Saccharomyces cerevisiae S288C: one gene and its partners. Changing the gene in region 4 together with the main gene of any one other region gives a genetic interaction. Each region holds a gene or a part of one and is shown on either strand. Other genes may lie near its edges. The genes, in order: PTC1, RAD51, ERG3 and SKN7.

Region 1 (4,737 bases), on a different chromosome or scaffold from region 4:
AGTATCGCAGTATTTATTTTGTATACCCTTAGAATACACATACTTGGTGTTAGAAGCCATCTAATACACTATATAACTCGGGGATTAAATCATCTTGGAAGAGCGAATCTAGTTCAGGATCGCCTGTCGTAAAGTTCGAGGATAAGGACATCGAATTTAGTAGTAGTCCTAATGACTCGATGTTATTGTCTAAAATTTGTTCAATTTCTTTTCCTGATTTATCATCGTCTTCTTGAATAGGTAAACAGTAATATTTACCAAAGTTCAGGAGGGTTAGGATGGTGTGAAAAATTATAGGAAGGAACATCAAGAAAGTGCTTGAAATATTTTTCTTGGATTATGGAAGTATCAAGAACGATATTATTTCAATAATGTGATGGTTTATATCTTTGCATACAATAGATTTTGTGATACTTTTTTTATGTAATGGTCCCGTAACCCCGTCGCTCTTTCCCTTTTAATTTTGCCCGATCCACTTTCTATGCCGGTAGTTTAGCCGCCAAGTGCTATTTTCAAACGAATCAATAGTAGCGGCTGCAACTTTGAAAAAGAAAGAAACAAAATTATGCGCTAGTTTTCCATTTCTTGTATTCTTTTTTCTTTTGCGGTGGTAATTACGGGAATTTAGTGATGTTGGAACGAGAGTAATTAATAGTGACATGAGTTGCTATGGTAACAATCTAATGCTTACACCGTATATTAATGTACACCTCGTATACGTTTAAGTGTGATTGCACCTATTGCAGAAGGAATGTTAAACGAGAAGCTCAGACAATACTGAAGCTGTGCTAAAGATCTATTAATTGAACATGATATGGTAGGTACATATATGAGGAATATGAGTCGTCACATCAATGTATAGTAACTACCGGAATCACTATTATATTGGTCATGATTAATATGACCAATCGGCGTGTGTTTTATATACCTCTCTTATTTAGTATAAGAAGATCAATACTTATTTCTTCATTAATACTATTTTTTACCTCTAACTATCAACAAGTGATAATTGTTGGAATTCCATTGTTAATAAAGGCAATAATATTATGTATACAGAATACAGCTTCCTCTAACTTCTATGACAGTTTCTCATACCTTATGTCATCATCTAACATTGTACATTATAATATACTCGTAGTAAGACTACTAGTTGAGAGAGAATAGTTGATTTTTATTCTAACAAATAATATTCCAGCAGGTTTACATATTCCTAGGTTTGGGATATATCTTAAGTCAATAATTCATCATTAGTAAGGCAACTTGGCCGAGTGGTTAAGGCGAAAGATTAGAAATCTTTTGGGCTTTGCCCGCGCAGGTTCGAGTCCTGCAGTTGTCGTCATTTTTATATTCCCAATATTTTTATCACTCCGGGTAACGAGTTATTAACGGTTTTTCTCCGGTGGCAAATGTCTCTTTTCTTTTACCTAAAAGAAGGTTAATGTGAATATTAGTGAATATGATGCGTATCAGTGTCAAGCTTACAGTCAATTCAAGTTAAAGAAGAGACAGCGTTTTTAATAGAAAATAAAATGGGACAAGGTGTATCATCTGGACAAGACAAAAAGAAGAAGAAGGGATCTAATCAGAAACCCAAATATGAACCTCCCGTTCAATCTAAATTTGGTCGTAAGAAAAGAAAGGGAGGTCCAGCTACTGCTGAAAAATTACCCAACATATATCCAAGTACTCGTTGTAAGTTAAAGCTTCTAAGGATGGAACGAATTAAAGACCATTTGTTATTAGAAGAAGAATTTGTCTCTAACTCTGAAATTTTAAAACCCTTTGAAAAGAAGCAGGAGGAGGAAAAGAAACAATTGGAAGAAATACGTGGAAATCCATTGAGCATTGGGACCCTTGAAGAAATTATAGACGATGATCATGCGATAGTGACAAGTCCAACTATGCCTGATTATTATGTATCTATCTTATCCTTTGTCGATAAAGAGTTACTAGAGCCTGGATGTTCTGTGTTATTGCATCATAAAACCATGTCCATCGTAGGTGTTTTACAGGATGACGCCGATCCAATGGTTTCGGTCATGAAAATGGATAAGTCGCCAACAGAATCATACAGTGATATTGGTGGCTTAGAATCTCAAATTCAAGAAATAAAAGAGTCTGTAGAGTTACCGTTAACACACCCCGAACTGTATGAAGAGATGGGTATCAAACCTCCCAAGGGTGTGATTCTTTATGGTGCACCCGGTACAGGTAAGACATTGCTAGCAAAGGCTGTTGCAAATCAAACATCTGCCACATTCTTAAGGATTGTTGGCTCAGAGTTAATTCAAAAATATTTGGGGGATGGTCCTAGGTTGTGTAGGCAAATTTTCAAAGTAGCGGGTGAGAATGCACCAAGTATTGTATTTATTGATGAAATAGACGCCATTGGTACTAAAAGATATGACTCCAATAGTGGTGGTGAGAGAGAAATTCAGAGAACCATGCTGGAATTGCTGAACCAGCTGGACGGGTTCGACGACAGAGGGGATGTGAAGGTGATTATGGCCACTAACAAAATCGAGACTCTTGACCCAGCATTAATCAGGCCTGGGAGAATTGATCGTAAAATCTTATTTGAAAACCCTGATCTAAGTACTAAGAAAAAAATTTTAGGGATTCACACTTCCAAGATGAATTTAAGTGAGGACGTTAATCTTGAAACTTTAGTAACAACAAAGGATGATTTGTCAGGCGCCGATATCCAGGCAATGTGTACAGAAGCAGGTTTGTTAGCCCTTAGAGAGAGAAGAATGCAAGTTACAGCGGAGGATTTTAAACAAGCCAAGGAGAGAGTCATGAAAAATAAAGTTGAGGAAAATTTAGAAGGTTTATACTTGTGATGTGCCCATTTACATTTTTCTATAATAGATTTACGTATATAAGTAATGCTTCAACAAAGCTTAATATGTGTACATTTTGTATCACGTGCAATATTTGTTTCAAAAACTTAATATAGGTAGGGCGTCGGGGCCTTCGCGAATTCTAACTGCAAAGGAAAACTGGTGAACACATCTGAGAGGGTTTGTTGTCCTAATTTTATAGGAAACTAAAACTCAAAAGACAAAGTATACCTTTGCAAATTGAAAGCTTAGTTAAACATTATTATTCGTGTGTTTGAGGTCACTTTTTTTCGTCTTAAACAGCTCTCAAAGTTGTCTCAAAATTTTTATCCGGATTCCTTTACATTAACAGACCCCAAACACAACAAGTTTTGATAGTTTAAGTAAGTGAACGCTTATTTTTGTTGTCGTTGAAAAGAAAATAAATAGGCAGTATTATCAATTAGGAGGTGAGTTAAATTCCATTCTATACCGAGTATACGAGATTTTGCACATTCTTACTTCATATATCATTTAGGCACTGCATTTATCTTTTAAAAATCATTATAATGAGTAATCATTCTGAAATCTTAGAAAGGCCAGAAACACCATATGACATAACTTATAGAGTAGGTGTGGCGGAAAATAAAAACTCGAAATTTCGGAGGACAATGGAAGATGTTCATACGTATGTTAAAAACTTTGCTTCAAGATTAGATTGGGGATATTTCGCGGTGTTTGATGGACATGCTGGGATTCAGGCCTCCAAATGGTGTGGTAAACATCTTCATACAATTATAGAGCAAAACATTTTGGCAGATGAAACACGAGATGTTAGAGATGTATTGAACGATTCATTCCTAGCCATTGACGAAGAAATTAATACAAAACTTGTAGGAAATAGTGGATGTACTGCTGCTGTTTGCGTATTACGTTGGGAGCTTCCGGATTCAGTTTCTGATGATTCAATGGATTTAGCCCAACACCAAAGAAAGTTATATACAGCAAATGTTGGTGATTCTCGAATAGTATTGTTTAGAAACGGGAACAGCATAAGACTGACTTATGATCATAAGGCATCTGACACTTTGGAGATGCAGAGAGTTGAACAAGCAGGTGGCCTGATAATGAAAAGTCGTGTAAATGGTATGCTGGCAGTGACGAGATCGTTAGGGGATAAATTTTTTGATAGTTTAGTAGTGGGCAGCCCATTTACCACGAGCGTAGAAATAACTTCTGAGGACAAATTTTTAATCCTAGCGTGTGATGGATTATGGGATGTTATTGATGATCAAGATGCATGCGAATTAATCAAGGATATTACTGAACCTAATGAAGCTGCAAAAGTCTTGGTTAGATATGCTTTGGAAAATGGCACAACAGATAATGTAACGGTCATGGTTGTCTTCCTCTAAGAAGGATCCGTTATAAACCGCGCAAAAATTATGCATAGACATAGAGATATGCAATGTGTATGTGTGTATGTATGTATATGTATAAACGTACCAAATCTATTTTGCATGCATCTCTCACATGACGAATGAGGTTTTAGTAGAATAGGATTCCAGATTTTTAAACTGGAGAACATATTCTATCATATATATACCAATTAAATTCACGTAGCGAATGCACAACACGGTTTACAAGTCAATAGTTAACAATAGGAAGACCAAGCTATATATTGAAGCCGCTGAGGTCTAATTCGCCATTATCTCCAGTGGTCGACCAGTCAATATTAAGGTCGTTGAAATCATTTAATGTCAAGTATTCTTCACCGTTGTCGGCTGGAGGAGGGTTATCTCCAGGATTGGAAACAACGGTCGTTGGTAAATCATTATTAACTATATTTTCATTATCATTTCCGGTAGTGATAGAATTGTTCTTGTTATTGCTGTCGTTGTTGGTGGTATTGTTA
Region 2 (4,998 bases), on a different chromosome or scaffold from region 4:
AATATACTCCTAATTTGTACATTGCTGCAGGATGGTTCTTAGTTGCAGCAAAAGTCAAAAAGTTAACCGCCTTCGGTGCATTTCTGGTTACACCCAAGCCGCACTCATAGCAAATGGCAGTTCTGTAAACACTTTCGATGTGCATTCTTTTGGCTGCAGCGGAGAATAAAAGAAATGCTCTTCTATTCTTTATTTTACCGAAAACTCCAGAGGAGTAGGCGTCACCTAGAAGGTACTGTGCATCAGGGTATCCAACGGCACTTAGTTTCTTCAAAATAACTTTGGCATCGTTCACTAAATATTCCTTTAAAGAATCTACAGAGAAGCTATTGCTTTCATCCTCCAGTTCCTTAACAAGTTCGTGTAGTTTTTCGGTATCCAACCCTACCCTTAAAATGTATTGTGCATACTGAAAATTAGAATATATGTCTTGAGTTTTCTTAACTACCTCCCCGTACATTTCAATGGTTTTCCATCTTGGTAGCAAGCTCTTCTTGTTTTTCTTGCCAAGGTGAAATTTGGCCACATTATGTGATTCTGATGCAGTCACCTCATTTGTGAGGCAAAGACTATTGTAAACGTTAAAATCTAGTGACACATGTCTAGGAAGTGAAATGGAACTTGTACTTCTATTGATATCGTTTGAAGAGCCTGATCCGCTTGGATTATTCAAAAAGTCCAAATCATTCGATTGACTAAAAGACAGAGCGACAGATTCATTCTGAGAGGGAGGGGGCTCAGCGAAGTCGTGAAACTCGGAATTACCGTCTGCCGATGTGCCATTTAAAATTTCGGATGAAATTTCAGAAGCAATTTCAATTTCACAAGAACCTTGTGATTTTTCCTTCAGTGAGGAAGAAGCATCGTCCTCAACGTCGTTCTCAAACTCGTCCTGCTCAGGAAGAATCTTTCTTGTGGGAAAAGAGTTATATTTTTCAATCAATGAGGGCGAAGCGTCGATATCCATCGCATCCTCACCAATAGAGGATGAAATTTTTTCTTTATCATTTGTAAACACATCACCTGAGCGTGAAATATGAGATGAAACGGATGACCAGTATTGACGAACTTCTGGTTTATTCAATATCAGAGAGGAATCAGAGGAGAATCCGCTTGATTCCAACTGTTTATCAACCTCATTATAAGCTCCAATTTCAGGGTATGCACCAGGAGTATTTGAGCAAATAGTCATGGACATTATGGGTACTGCCTGATTTTAACAAAGGGATACTCGTAATGTCAACCGTACTTCTCTTGCTGTTAGCAAAAGTATTGTTCTATTCTTTTTTCCAAGTACAATTTTTTATTCAATTTAAAAACGTCGAAACGAAGACAAGGAAATTCATTGCCATAAAGAAGTGTATGGTATTTTACGTTGGTTTTATAAGAGGATGGCGACATATCAGAAAATTTTTCTCTTCACTCCCCTAAAAGGATAAAGCCGCGCGGACCCTGCAGGAGGAAGTAGTCATCGGGAAGAAGAGTAGAAAAATACATATATTTCATGGGTGACAGACAATACGAAAGTTATTTAAAAGAACTGAAAAAAAAGGTTAAGACCGCAGTAGGGTTGCGAGGTATATGACAAAATATATGCAAAAATCTAAGACAGTGGATGGAAATGAAGATAAAAATGTACGGAACGCAACCTAAGAAAAAGAGGAGAATTGAAAGTAAACCTGTGTAAATAAATAGAGACAAGAGACCAAATACCTACTCGTCTTCTTCTCTGGGGTCACCAACACCATCTTCATAGATCGCGAACACACATTCAGCCTCTGGTAAGCAAGGTGAGTCAACAACTTTGCATAATCTTTGACATCCCTTACCCTTTTTGAAACCTAATCGCGTGGTGGAAGAATGTGCCATAATATTACCACCGATAGGCTTCTTTGGATCTGGATTAAAAGCCATACCACCATCAACTTGGGCGACCACTTGGTTAGTAACGACGACTGCAACACCAAATTGGTCGGCCAGCCTTTGCAAAGCACGCATAAATTTGGCTAAATGCATTTGCCTTGCGCTTAGTTCACCACGACCAGAAAAATCCGTACGGTATAGAGCCATAACAGAATCGACCACAATCAAGGAAAACCGAGACTCGCTCATCATTTGGGCAGCAGCATCCAGAAGTCTTAACTGATGATCGGCGTTATAGGCTCTTGCATACGCAACGTTGTTCAAAGCATCATCCGGGTCTAATCCGAACCGCTGAGCTATGGATACCAATCTTACCGGCCTGAAAGTACCTTCGGTATCGATATACAAACACTTACCTTCACCGCCACCAATATCCAATGGAATTTGGCATGTCACGGCCAAAGTGTGACATAGCTGGGACTTACCTGTCCTGAATTCACCGAAAAGCTCAGTAATAGAACCAGTTTCCACACCACCACCCAAAAGAGTGTCCAAATTCTTAGAACCCGTTGTCAAACAAATCAGCTCCGATCTTCTCATATGAAAATCAGCAGCCGTGACAAATCCCATAGGCACTAGCCTTGCCGCTTCGTTTAGCAACTTATCTGCCTTAGCTTCCGATATACCTTTGATTTCCAATAAATCCTTTCTGGGAGCATATGCTACCGCTTCAGCAGTGTGAAGCCCACTCTCCCTTAGTTTTTTCACATCCGCCATAGTAATCCCGTTCACTTGCAGTTTTTCTATTGGCACAAACGAACCTAAGGCAGCTTCATCGTATGCTTCATCCTCCATTTCACCTTGCGCTTCCGCTTGCTCCTGCAATCCGCCACCATCGCCGGAGCCGTTGGTGGCCTCAATATCTTCGCTGCTACCGTTGCCGTTTCCATCAACGACTGACTGTGAAAGGTCTGCTGGTACAGTGGACATCAACGAACCGTTCCCGTACTGAAGCTGTGACTCTGATATATGTTGTTCTTGAACTTGAGACATATGACGATAACAAATTAGTAGGCCTTTAACAAATAACTACGTCTGCTCTTTGTCGCTACACTCAACTACTAGTATATGGAAACTACGGAAGATAGAAGAAGTAACTGAGAAAATTTTTTCTCCAGTCCCCACTATTCCCCTTTATGGTCCCACCACGCGTACTGTAAACAAACCAGGACAGAAATAGCGGAAATGACGCGTAGCATAGGGTAACGAAGTGTGGCCTAGTCGTGGGATATGGTGAGACGGTGATAAAACACTGATACAACCGGTTGGAATGCTCAGGGAATGCTCAAGAAGGCCACCTGTTGCAGGATAGCTAAACTAGATTGGTTGAAGAACGGTAGTGGTGCATTTCCAACATTTACCGTCCATTTTAATTTACTCTGTGACAATGATAAGCCAGATCGCTATTAACGTGGTGTAGTCATGTGACCGGATGGCACTGCCGGTGGCAAAAAAGTGCAAATGCAGGGGCGATGAAAAGAGAGGAAGAAAGAGTTTATGGCATAGTAGAAAGGCCAATTAAATCGGGAAGCTGCTAAGTAAGTTTGAACCGTAGTTTCGAAGTAGAGTGCGTTTCTTGCGAATTGTGGTGAAAATATTGAACAGTGAATAAAGCATAAAAAAAAAATGTCGGATCCAAGTTCTATTAACGGTGGTATCGTCGTTGCGATGACAGGTAAAGACTGTGTGGCCATTGCCTGTGATTTGCGTCTCGGAAGCCAGTCACTAGGTGTGTCGAACAAGTTTGAAAAAATCTTCCACTATGGGCATGTGTTCTTAGGGATTACCGGTCTGGCTACCGACGTGACTACTCTGAACGAGATGTTCCGCTACAAGACGAACCTATATAAGTTGAAGGAAGAAAGGGCCATTGAGCCTGAAACGTTTACCCAATTAGTGTCAAGTTCACTTTATGAAAGAAGATTCGGTCCATACTTTGTGGGGCCGGTGGTAGCAGGTATTAATTCCAAGTCCGGGAAGCCCTTTATTGCGGGATTCGACCTAATCGGCTGTATCGACGAGGCCAAGGATTTTATCGTTAGCGGTACTGCATCCGACCAACTGTTCGGTATGTGTGAGTCCCTGTACGAACCTAATCTAGAGCCAGAAGATCTTTTCGAAACTATAAGTCAGGCCCTACTGAATGCTGCTGACCGTGACGCTCTATCAGGCTGGGGAGCTGTAGTATACATCATCAAGAAGGATGAAGTGGTGAAGAGATACTTGAAGATGAGACAAGATTGATCGGTTCATGGCAATCTCATGGTCCCAAAAACAACCCCAACACAAAATATCAGCGGAACGTCAAGAATTTTCCACATCCAACTCATCTTTAATTTTTAAGTAAACAGAATAGATCGAATGAATATATAAATACTAAAATGCATAAAGTCAGTCGAAGATCTGAGTAGCTATCCGCTGGCTGTCCTTTTCTAAGGAGCAGCGTTATTCACCAGCCGCGAGTCTCTTGAAAAATTGGCGCTTTTAATACTTATTAGGATGGGGAACTTGATTCTTTGACGGGTTTGTCAGCAATTAGTACGACTATCCTACTTCATCAAGAAACGAAACTATGATCGAAGAGAAGAAGGAACTTAAGAAACGCAGGGTTCTTCAAATGGCCAGATTTTATGGTGCGGCCGCCTTCACCCTGATTACCATGAGGCTTATCTCCAGGGCCATAAAAGTACGAAAATGTATGTATTTTGTCCTAGTTCAGTGGCCAAAACTAATAATAGGATATAGTTACTAACACCGTCTACTGAAAGCAGACGTCCCCAGCATATTTCAACAAAATTACAAGCTTCCACCTTTTTCCCAAAGGAATGAAGCCATGTCAGCGTTAACGTATGCATCCGCCGCTTCAATAGGTACGTTCAGCACATTGATATTCGGCTTTTGTTGGGCACTTGACATTTCAACGGCAAGAGAGTTTGTATTTAAGACTAGAGAGTTCATGAGCCTTCCACAAGCCTTAGAAACCGACACGAGCATGGACGAAGAAACTTCCAAACTAACTAAGCAATTGCAAGACCTCCTGTCGAGCGAAAACAACAAGTAGCACTACGCATTGGC
Region 3 (5,086 bases), on a different chromosome or scaffold from region 4:
TTAAACTCATTAACTATGTCACCCGTCTGCAAATCCCATTCCAAAAGACGCTTATCCCAGGAACCACTCAAAAACCTGTCCTCTTGACCGTTTAATCTCAGTATGTTAACGATTTGGGTATGTCCATTCCTGCCCTTAAAATAGTGCGCAATGCTCCCCTCCATGTAGCGAACGCCCTGCATGGTAATCCCACCATTCTGTAGCCCGCTCAGTATAAAGAGGCATTCGCTTTGGACTTCCAAAGAATGAACGGGGCTAACTTTGGGCTCGTAATCTGTCTTATTAGCGGAGAGTTTCATTTCTGATTTTTTCTGCGGGATCTCATTTTCCCAGTACGACTGCAAGATACCCGCGTTCTGAATAGACTCAGCCAACGAATGCTTCTGCAGGATAGTTAGAGAAAGTTTCCCCTCAAGCGTGTTCAGCAAGTCGTACTTCCTTATGTATCCATCGCTACCGCCCAAAAACAGGTACTTGAGACCCCTGGACACGGCCAACGCATTGACGTGCGTCTGGATGGGTATGGCTGCCGTGGGGTAGATATTGTACGAATCCGCAATCTGTGCGGCATTCAACATGTGCTTATAGTACTCATAAACCTCTCCATTAGCAGAGGCTTCGTGTGTAGAGGAAGATGCTTCCCTGGACCCCACTCCTCCATCAACATCGCTCAATTTCACATCCTCGGATCCAATCTTAGTAACAGCATCGCCACTATCGCCTGCACCGCCAGCACCAGCAGCAGCAGCCTTTTGCTCATCATGCTGGTGCTCATTCGTCGGTGTAGCAGTCTTATCCATTCTTGCGGCGTCGTCCTCACCATCGTCGTCCTCCTGTTCATCGTCGTCCTCTCGTTCGTCCTCGTCATCATCATCGTCCTCATCATCATCATCGTCATCCTCTTCATCTTCACCACCGTCATCATTCCCCTCGAGGTCCTGCTTTGAGTCGTTTTCCAGCCCACTCAGCATCTCTTCGTCATCCTCCTCGTCATCCACCACCTGGTTGTTAATTAGAATATCGTCAACCTCGTCCATTACGTAAAAGAAGAAAAAAAAAAAAACTGAGCCTTTAGTACACTACAGTTACTGCTACAGCCTTTTACAGCCCAGCATCTGGCACCACTACGCTATAATATATGATGCGTCTATTATGCTAGAATCCTTCCTGAAAGGGCATTCTGGAAGCCCTACGTACAGAGTGACAATATATTAGGGCATCCATAAAAATAGATTAGGGCAGCTCTGCCATTTTTTTCATAGCCGAAAGAAGAAAAACTGAAAAAAAAAATGATACGAAAAAACCGCGAAACGACGCCTTTTGTTGCGATTGTCGGGCATCGCAAGTTACGACGCGTTGTCCCTTGCATCGCTGCCGTGTGGCACGACCCACTGCGGCCTAAACGACCGAGATCGGTGCCCGGGGCAGACCACCCGAAAACTCCCGGGCATTATTTCGGTCGTTTAGTTGCGCCCCAGGGCAACCGGGGTGTATACGAGGCCGATGGCTGCGATAAACGAAAAATTCAGGCTCGTATAAGTGGCACAATAGAAGGTGAAGAAGAACAGCAGGTGCATTGAAACAAGAGGTTCAGCAGCGATCGGGTATTGTTGTTGCTGCTATTATGTAACGGTCGAAAGAAACATCGCGGTATATATTAGAGGCGGATTTCTATCTTTCTTATCAATTCGTTTTTTCATTCACTTGTTCATTCATTCTTTACATTTGTCTTGTTCTTTGAAGTGGTTGCAGAGGAGGTCAGTTTGTTGCATTTGTAAAAAAAGATAATAAGAAAAATATTCGTCTAGATTTGAGATATGGATTTGGTCTTAGAAGTCGCTGACCATTATGTCTTAGACGACTTGTACGCTAAAGTTCTGCCCGCTTCGTTGGCAGCTAATATTCCTGTCAAGTGGCAGAAATTGCTAGGGTTGAACAGTGGGTTCAGCAATTCTACGATTTTGCAGGAGACTTTGAACTCCAAGAATGCCGTCAAAGAATGTAGAAGGTTCTACGGGCAGGTGCCATTCCTGTTTGATATGTCGACGACGTCTTTTGCATCGCTATTGCCTCGTTCCAGCATCTTGAGAGAATTCCTCTCACTATGGGTTATTGTTACGATCTTTGGTTTACTACTTTACTTATTCACGGCTAGTCTCAGCTACGTGTTTGTGTTTGACAAGTCGATTTTCAACCATCCTCGTTACTTGAAAAACCAAATGGCAATGGAAATCAAGTTGGCAGTCAGTGCTATCCCATGGATGTCGATGTTGACCGTTCCATGGTTTGTTATGGAATTGAACGGCCATTCTAAACTATACATGAAGATTGATTATGAAAACCACGGTGTAAGGAAGCTCATTATCGAGTACTTCACTTTCATCTTTTTCACTGATTGCGGTGTGTATTTAGCGCACAGATGGTTGCATTGGCCAAGGGTCTACCGTGCTCTGCACAAGCCTCATCACAAGTGGCTGGTCTGCACACCTTTCGCATCTCATTCTTTCCATCCTGTAGACGGGTTTTTGCAATCCATCTCGTACCACATCTACCCATTGATTCTGCCATTACACAAGGTTTCTTATTTGATTCTGTTCACTTTTGTTAACTTTTGGACTGTTATGATTCATGACGGTCAATACCTATCAAACAATCCTGCCGTCAACGGTACTGCCTGCCACACGGTTCACCATCTATATTTCAACTACAACTACGGTCAATTCACCACTCTGTGGGACAGACTAGGGGGTTCTTACCGTAGACCAGATGACTCATTGTTTGATCCTAAGTTAAGAGATGCTAAGGAGACCTGGGACGCTCAAGTTAAGGAAGTTGAACATTTCATCAAGGAGGTCGAAGGTGATGATAATGATAGAATCTATGAAAACGACCCAAATACCAAGAAGAACAACTGAATACGGTTGCCTTGTTTGTCTCATCTTTTTTCTTTCTTTCACGTTCAAGAACTTTCACACAACGAATAACGTTTATATATTTATATACACATACATGTTTTAAGATACGCATATCATTATGATGTACACCTCACGTTAGTGCAATATGCGCTATTCGTATATTAAATTTTTGCGTTCATTTAATGGCTCTTTTTCCTATTCTAGTGAAAAAAAAAACAGAAAATCGAAGAGCTGGAAAATTTAAGAACAGGCAAATAGGAAGCTGGAAGCTTTAAAATGCCCAAGATTTCGGTGAAGCGCAAGTGTTAACTAGAAAAAGGCCGCCACTACTCTATAAGCAAAACCTTATGTCCATAGCGCGATTAGTATACTCTCTTTTCAGAAGAGTACGATCGGTTCTCTTACTTTTCATTACCATATCGCTATTGTTTTACTATACGTTCCAGAATGAAATCGATATCTTGAATTCGTACGCTTTAAACGACTCACTACCGTCCATAAACAACTATGAGCACAATACAGAAGGTTCTTCGAAACTGGATCCTCCAGACCTATCGTCAACCGGTTCTGACCGAATAGCCACCGACAAGGAAAATGGCAACGTTGCAGTGGATTTGTCAGATCCAGCTACATTGAGAGAAAAAAACAAGTACTTTCCCTTGCTGTTAAAGGGATCGTCTCACCAGATTGGTTCGAATTTACCAATTTCGTCTCTTTTGACATATAAGGAAAAGTATCCCGTCTTGTTCGAATACTCATCACCTTCCTTAACTTCTATAAGCCAGAATGACGTTCATAAGATACAGCCGGCAATGCAATTGCCACCAGATGTTGATATGATAAAACAGATAAAGGACATTTTCATGAAATCATGGAACCAAGAGCAGTTGCTGCTGAAAAGTAACCTCAGAAGGGAATCTACTTGGCCCATAGATCTAATTGATTCTCTAGATACATTGTATCTATGTGGCGAGACGAAACTTTTTCAAGATTCTGTTAATATAATAGAAGATTTTGACTTTCGAGTACCTCCGTTAGCAATGGAAGTTATTGATATTCCTGACATCACTACCCGTGTCCTAGAAGGGTTACTGTCTGCATACGAATTATCTATGGATAAACGATTACTTAACAAAGCAAAACATGTTGCAGATTTCATATTAAGATCATTTGATACCCCTAATAGAATTCCTATTTTGAAATATTTTTGGAAATCTGATCTGAGAAATCGATTTCCAGACCGTACTGTTCCATCAGGTCAATTGACTACTATGGCACTCGCGTTTATCAGATTGTCACAGTTAACCCGTTTGAATAAGTATTTTGATGCTGTTGAAAGAGTTTTCACCACTATACGTCAATCATATAACGAATTTGATATGGAGTTTATGCTGCCTGACGTCGTTGATGCCTCTGGTTGCCAGTTATTAACTCAAGAGGAAATTGAGAATGGTGCACACCTAAAGGGATCCAGCATCATGAAAAGTATCAATGAAAATTTCAAGTTCGTACACTGTCAGCAGTTAGGGAAATTCTTAAATCCTCCAATAGATGATAATAGCCTCCAAGAACAATCTCAATACCAGGCTTATAGAATTAATGAAAAAACAGTACCCATTCTAGAAAATCTATTCAAAATCAATGACCTCTTCCAATCTTCTTATGATATCCTGGACGGCTCAAGTAAAAATGCTAATGCTGCAACGATGGACCCCAGTATTGGTTCAGAGGTAGAAGCAGTCGACGAAATAATTGAGAAAAGAAACTTTAAAGACGGTACTAAAAAAGATTCGACAAAAAACACCGTAGGTGATAAATCATTAATAGACTCGCAAACGTTTTTAACAAATTCCATCAGTAACATTTTTAAATTCATGACTTTTCGACCCATGTTGCCCAAGCAAACGGAAAACAAAAAGTTTAATTTTCTGAATTCCATTCTAACAAAATCTCAATTCATGCCCACGACTAATGAGCTAGATGTCACGATAAGAAAATCTTACGATGTCTCGTTATACTCATGCAGACTTGGCGGCATTCTAGGTTTAAGTTCACGTGTTCCCCACCGAGGCGGTGTCAACACGAAATATATTTTACCATCGTCACTATTGGAAATGAGCGAAATAATAACAGAAAGTTGTTTTATGCTAATGGAGGAGTTCGACGGGCTG
Region 4 (5,561 bases):
TGATTGTCAAGTACTTTCCGGACCACCTGCGATAGTTTCCCTTGTCTACTTGAGCAGATATGCTCTTACTGACTAGCAAGAATGATAACAAATTTTATCAGTAAACCCTTTCCTTGCCGTAATTTTTTTTATTTTAGCTTCGTAATTTTTTTTTTCGTATTATTTTTCTTTTTCTTTTTCTTTCTTGATATCATAATCATGGGGAACTTCTCCATATAACAATAGAAGCTAAATAGGTAAATAACCAAGCGTGCACTGATACAAAATAACGAAAAGTGGCACAAAAATGACATTGACTATCAAAATAGGAACCTTAAACGATAGCGATCAATCTGCAGTGCATAATGGTACAGAAAATGGCTCTGATTTTCGAAAGATAACTCCCACAGAGGAAGAGATCTGTGATGACGTAGTTTTGTTATGGAAGGAAGAGCCCGGAACTGAAGACGCTACGATTCAGCATCTTTATGACAGGATTACGGAAAGAAATCAATCGTGGAAATTGAGTGCTTCTCGTTTTCGAAAAATTCTAAATGAGCACCATCTTTATGACACAGATCTAGAGACCGTTTCTCTATATAAAGATAAAATACATTTTCCAAAAGCCCTAGATTCTGATGCTAAGGTCGAAGTGAAATTTATTGATGACGAACATGGAAGGGGCCTTTTCGCTAAAAGAGATTTTTCCAAGGGCCAAATCATCCTGAAAGAAAATAAACCTATCGTATATATTCCACCACTGGACAAGCTTTTTTTAATATCTAATGGAAAGGCATGTGCTCGATGTGGTAAGGCGCTATATGATTTGACCCAGCACAAAATTATGGTCCATTATTTGGATTGTGAAGTTTGCAAAGCTATTTGGTGCAGTGAAAAATGTAAAAAAGCACATGCGTCGTTACATGAGCTTTTATACCACTCATGGAGATCGAATAGAATAGACATTCTTCATGCTGGTAATTGGAAAAGATTTGTTAACTACTGTGAGAAATATTGTTTTACCGCTGCCTTTTCAGTTGGTCTTATATATGGATCCATGCTTTTGGATACTACAGGAGAGGTCAAAGAGCAATGGCAAAAATTGGCAAGCATCTCACAAAGGGAAAGAATTAAATTAAGAGACGCCAGCGGTATCGGCAGTACGTTTAGTTTACTGAATGGTACAACTGTACATACTGAAGAGGAATCTGATAATGGTACCAAAAAGGGCGTTGAGAAGAATATTGATGACGAGACTGTTTGGGAGAAGTGCTACGAATTATTTTGCGGTGCATTTCCAAAAGCTTCTGAAGAAATAGATTTCGAGAAATTTTTGACCATGATCGGGACGTTCAATATCAATCAATATAACGGCCAGGTATATCATTGGATCTCCTTCATAAACCATGATTGTGAACCAAACGCCTATATTGAGCAAGTAGAAGAACATGAGGAACTGAGGTTGCATGCAAGGAAACCAATAAAGAAGGGGGAACAAATACGTATTACGTACGTCAATCCCTTACATGGGGTGAGGTTGAGGCGTAGGGAATTAAGAGTTAACTGGGGCTTCTTATGCCAGTGTGACCGCTGTCAAAATGAACTATCTACATTTGAAAGAGTTCCAAATCTAGAGAAAAAGAATGCGGATGCTAATTTAGGAGTAGAAAAAATAGATTCCAATGATAGTAGTGAAGATGGCTCTAAGAAATCAACTGGTAATCGTAAATCTTCCATGAGAGAGGCCCAGCCAGATTTAAAAGAAATACTGAAGAATGGAAAAGAATTTGAATTAGACATACCAGAAACTGTTGATACACAAGGGAATGTAAGAAAAACCTCAGTCAGATTCGATTCAAACGTTTCGGTCGCAGTGGATGAAAGATAAGAGATAAACGCATACTAAATTACTGTGTCTGTTATTGTTTTTGGCTATATATATATATATATATATATATATATAGTAAATATAAGAAAAACAAAGAAAAAAGAAATGAGAGTGAATTTGAGAGCGGCAGAAAGAAATAAAATTCAAACATTTTGATGTAGATAACTGGAAATAACTGAAGGGGATAAAATATTGAACGAAAAGAAAATGATAATCCTCCAAGATCACATAATAAATATAAAGAAACTCCTCAGGAATACAGAATGTCCTCTGCTAACTTAGACGCAAGGCTATTTGTAAAATTTTATGATAGCTGGTTTTCTTGAAGTGTAGATTGTGGTAATTGCGGAGTGGAACCCATTGAGGAATGTGGTACAGTGTTGATTTCATGTTCCAAATTCGGTATGGCTACGTCTGACCTAGCATTAGCAATGGCGTTGTGATGCTGCTGCTGCTGCTGAGCATGGAAAATTTGATGCTGCTGTTCTTGTTGACCTTGTTGAACATGCTGTGCAGAAGATATAGAGGCACCTGGGGTAACAGGGGTAGTAGTTGACGGATTATCTTGTGGTAACATGGCTAACGACTGTTCATTAATCGTATTAGGATTCGAATTAGCAGTATTGGTGTTGGAATGAGTTTGTGGCGAAGAGTTGCGAGGTGGTAATTGCTGTTCGCATAAAGGAATACGGTCCTTTAGATAACGTATTAAAATTGAGTGTAAATCATCCCTCGTGAATGGTTTGGCCAAGATATCATTCATTCCATGTTGTAAGTATGTGATCAAGTCTTGATTCATAATGTTACCTGTCATGGCAATGATGGGAGTCTCATTATCAAAACTTCTGACAATGGATGTCGCTGTGGCACCATCTAGGTTTGGCATAACAATGTCCATTAAAACCAAATCATACCTATACTTCTCTAGTGTTGAGATAGCTGAAAGACCGTCGCTGACAACTTGGACAGTACAGCCATATTTCCGTAAAAATTTTGAACACAACTGTATAGACACTGCGTCATCTTCCACCAACAGTACATGGAAACCTTTTCGTAGCGTGACTGTGTTATTTTGAGCATTTGGTGTTAGGCTATTCTGATCGGGTAAATTAGGTAGTTGTAAGGAAACTGTAGATGTTGCCGGAGAAGCATTGTTGGTGTTGTTGTTGCTTTGGATAGCTGTTGTTGTTGCTGGGTTGGTATTACCAGTTGGGTTACGGTTTCCATTGTCGCCAAATATTGGCACTTCAATACCATTATTTGCCAAAGTGGAACACAGAGTGTTGAAGTTGTTGAGTAAATTTTCATTTATGGTCTTGAATGTTATCAAACTTTCGATAACCGTATTGTATTTCGAGTTCAACTTTTGTAGTTCTACTTTAGTAGCATAACTCTCCATTTTGGACATATCCAACTCCTTTTGTAGTTTGTCTACTCGCCTTCTTAGATTTCCAAATGCATCTTTACTTACGGTATTGCTTAACAACAGCTCTGTGGTGGATTCATTCAAAAGAGACCCAGAAGGATTGTTGGGGTTAGTGCCTTCACTATTGAAATGCAAAAGAGCCTTTTGAGATTCATCCAAAAGCACTTTCCTTTGCGCCGGAATTTTCCTTTTGATGTTATCGAGACCTTTTCCGTAATGGACTCTAAATTCTGGATGCTGAAACTCCCAACTTTGTTCGCCATATTTACATCTCTGTCTTTCCTCGGGACTTCTCTTAACCTTGTGAAAGTCATACTTGTTTAGTTGCCTTACAAAAGATGCAAAATTTGAATGTTTGAAGTGATTAGGCAATATATGCGTAGTGAACTTTCCTGTGTCCAAAACGACGAAACTTTTGCCGTTCTCAGTCCAAGTTACAATGTCAGGATATTCATTGTTTTCCAGTATCCTGAACAGTTTTCTTACGAACTCATTTGCTGGAGCCTTTGCTCCCGCATTAGCACTGCTGATATTTGTGTTTCCAGCTGGTTGTTGAACGTTATTAGTCTTGTTGTTAATGTGCAGCATGTCAGAAGAGTTGTTTGGCTGCATCGTGTTCATCAGTCGAGGCCCGCTCTGCAACAAGTCCATTCCTAAAAGGTCTGCAGTCGAACTGTTCTCGGTGGTGTTATTATTGCTATCGCCGGTGGTTTTATTGACGTTGCTATTTATGGTGGAAAAGCTCATAGTGGATATCAAAAGTAAGCAACGAAAAAATAGGAATAAGAATAATGGAAACAAAGAGAGGATAAAAAAACTTCTATAACAGTCCTTTAATAATACAGCAATTTCGTTGCTTTTTTGTTGGTCTTGGAAAAAACAGAATGTCCTCTAATGAGCGAGTTAAATATATGACCCAAACAAAAGCAGCAAGCCTAGGTAAGATGTTGGAAGATAGTAAGGTGACCAGGGATATCTGTGTAATGTTAGTAAAACTTTGACAAATGTTTCAGATCCTGGAAGCACTTTCAATCTTGTCACATTCGATGGGATGACAGTTAAGCTCAGTAAAGCTGACCACATTTTGCTCATAGTTAAAGAAAGAAAAAATTCAGAATTTCGGAAAATCCATGTACGCGCATCGATGAGCCCTGCCCTCACTTATGGCATCCCTATTATAGCAAAACCCTGCTTATACTTGTGTTAGCCCTACTTTTAATCGACTTTAAACCTATGCATTTAAGAAAAACTTTTTTTTTTTTTTTTTCGGATGATATAACCGACCTATAATTTCCGAACCGACTTTGGGAAATCACAGCGAAGCGTTTACTTAAGCCCTGATTATATATAGATGAGGGGTAAATATGTCAAAGTACAATGGAATGGTGAGGTATAAGCAGTGATTATGAGACGTGATAAACTAGAAATTTGCAGGAACAATTATTCATTTTTTGGAGTTTAAATAAAACGAAAATACATACATACTTTACATATATAAATAGAAGAAATGTTTCGATAAAGTGGGAAAAACGATTAGAAGATACAAATTAATAATAGAAGTAGAAATAAAAGATAGAAAAATTAGAAAAAAATAAAAAGAAAAGGAAAAGAAGAGGAAGGGCAAGAGGAGCGATTGAGAAATCATATTTCGAATCTTCCACTGACAAATTCGTCATCCATGTGTTGGTCGCCGTCGAAGTCCATCTGCGAATGGCTGTTGTTCATATTTTTCTCTTGGTTGAATCCATCATTGATGTCCTCGTCCCCGTCATCATCGATGACATCTTCGTCTGGAGGTAAGTTTGGATTTCCCGGGATAAAGGAACCAGGTTCCATAAAGTACGAGTTTTGTAGGAATTTTCTGTTGTTATTAACGTGTTCATCGATGGCGGACTCATCAACAAAGGTGAAACCAGCAAACTTTGCTTGCATGGCTGGAGATAGCGGGGTAGCAGTCATCATCGGCTGGTGCTTGTTCATGTATGAAGTTGAAGCTGTTGTGAACTCTGGGTCAAAATTCGAGGTATCCGTCTCCGAGACTAGGTGAGGTTTGAAAGGTGGTGGAATTTTTTTCTGCTTCAAGGCCTCCCAGTCGATATCTGCGAAAAATGGATGAGCTCGTAGTTCTCTTCCATCATCAATGGCACCGAGTCTATGTTTGGGGTTTCTGTTTAGTAAACCCTTTACAAAAGACCTCCCCTCTTGTGACAGTACGTCTCTGGGGAATTTGACTTTACCAAAGGCAATTTTTTGGTACATTTTTTGATT

What was found.
Region 1: mutations in SKN7 (region 4) and PTC1 together harm fitness more than expected from each alone (negative genetic interaction), as found in Saccharomyces cerevisiae (6 studies listed by BioGRID, with this or other methods).
Region 2: mutations in SKN7 (region 4) and RAD51 together harm fitness more than expected from each alone (negative genetic interaction), as found in Saccharomyces cerevisiae (7 studies listed by BioGRID, with this or other methods).
Region 3: mutations in SKN7 (region 4) and ERG3 together harm fitness more than expected from each alone (negative genetic interaction), as found in Saccharomyces cerevisiae (4 studies listed by BioGRID).

Annotation. Positions count from the first base shown.
Region 1 is NC_001136.10:436,518-441,254, forward strand, and holds PTC1 (type 2C protein phosphatase PTC1), read left to right. Parts: upstream 1-3,391; coding exon 3,392-4,237; downstream 4,238-4,737. Other genes in the region: YDL007C-A (uncharacterized protein), read right to left, coding at 50-307; proteasome regulatory particle base subunit RPT2, read left to right, coding at 1,530-2,843; MED2 (Med2p), read right to left, coding at 4,497-4,737. UniProt on the Saccharomyces cerevisiae protein: Serine and threonine phosphatase. Involved in tRNA splicing and cell separation.
Region 2 is NC_001137.3:347,898-352,895, reverse strand, and holds RAD51 (recombinase RAD51), read right to left. Parts: upstream 2,917-4,998; coding exon 1,714-2,916; downstream 1-1,713. Other genes in the region: SHC1 (Shc1p), read right to left, coding at 1-1,198; PUP3 (proteasome core particle subunit beta 3), read left to right, coding at 3,550-4,167; AIM11 (Aim11p), read left to right, coding at 4,496-4,619, 4,695-4,984. UniProt on the Saccharomyces cerevisiae protein: Required both for recombination and for the repair of DNA damage caused by X-rays. Its function may be modulated by interaction with other repair proteins. RAD52 interacts directly with RAD51, via its C-terminus.
Region 3 is NC_001144.5:252,044-257,129, forward strand, and holds ERG3 (C-5 sterol desaturase), read left to right. Parts: upstream 1-1,817; coding exon 1,818-2,915; downstream 2,916-5,086. Other genes in the region: SAGA complex subunit SPT8, read right to left, coding at 1-1,037; putative mannosidase MNL2, read left to right, coding at 3,263-5,086. UniProt on the Saccharomyces cerevisiae protein: C-5 sterol desaturase; part of the third module of ergosterol biosynthesis pathway that includes the late steps of the pathway. ERG3 catalyzes the introduction of a C-5 double bond in the B ring to produce 5-dehydroepisterol.
Region 4 is NC_001140.6:511,211-516,771, reverse strand, and holds SKN7 (kinase-regulated stress-responsive transcription factor SKN7), read right to left. Parts: upstream 4,041-5,561; coding exon 2,172-4,040; downstream 1-2,171. Other genes in the region: SET5 (S-adenosylmethionine-dependent methyltransferase), read left to right, coding at 287-1,867; serine/threonine protein kinase SCH9, read right to left, coding at 4,935-5,561. UniProt on the Saccharomyces cerevisiae protein: Transcription factor that is part of a SLN1-YPD1-SKN7 two-component regulatory system, which controls gene expression in response to changes in the osmolarity of the extracellular environment.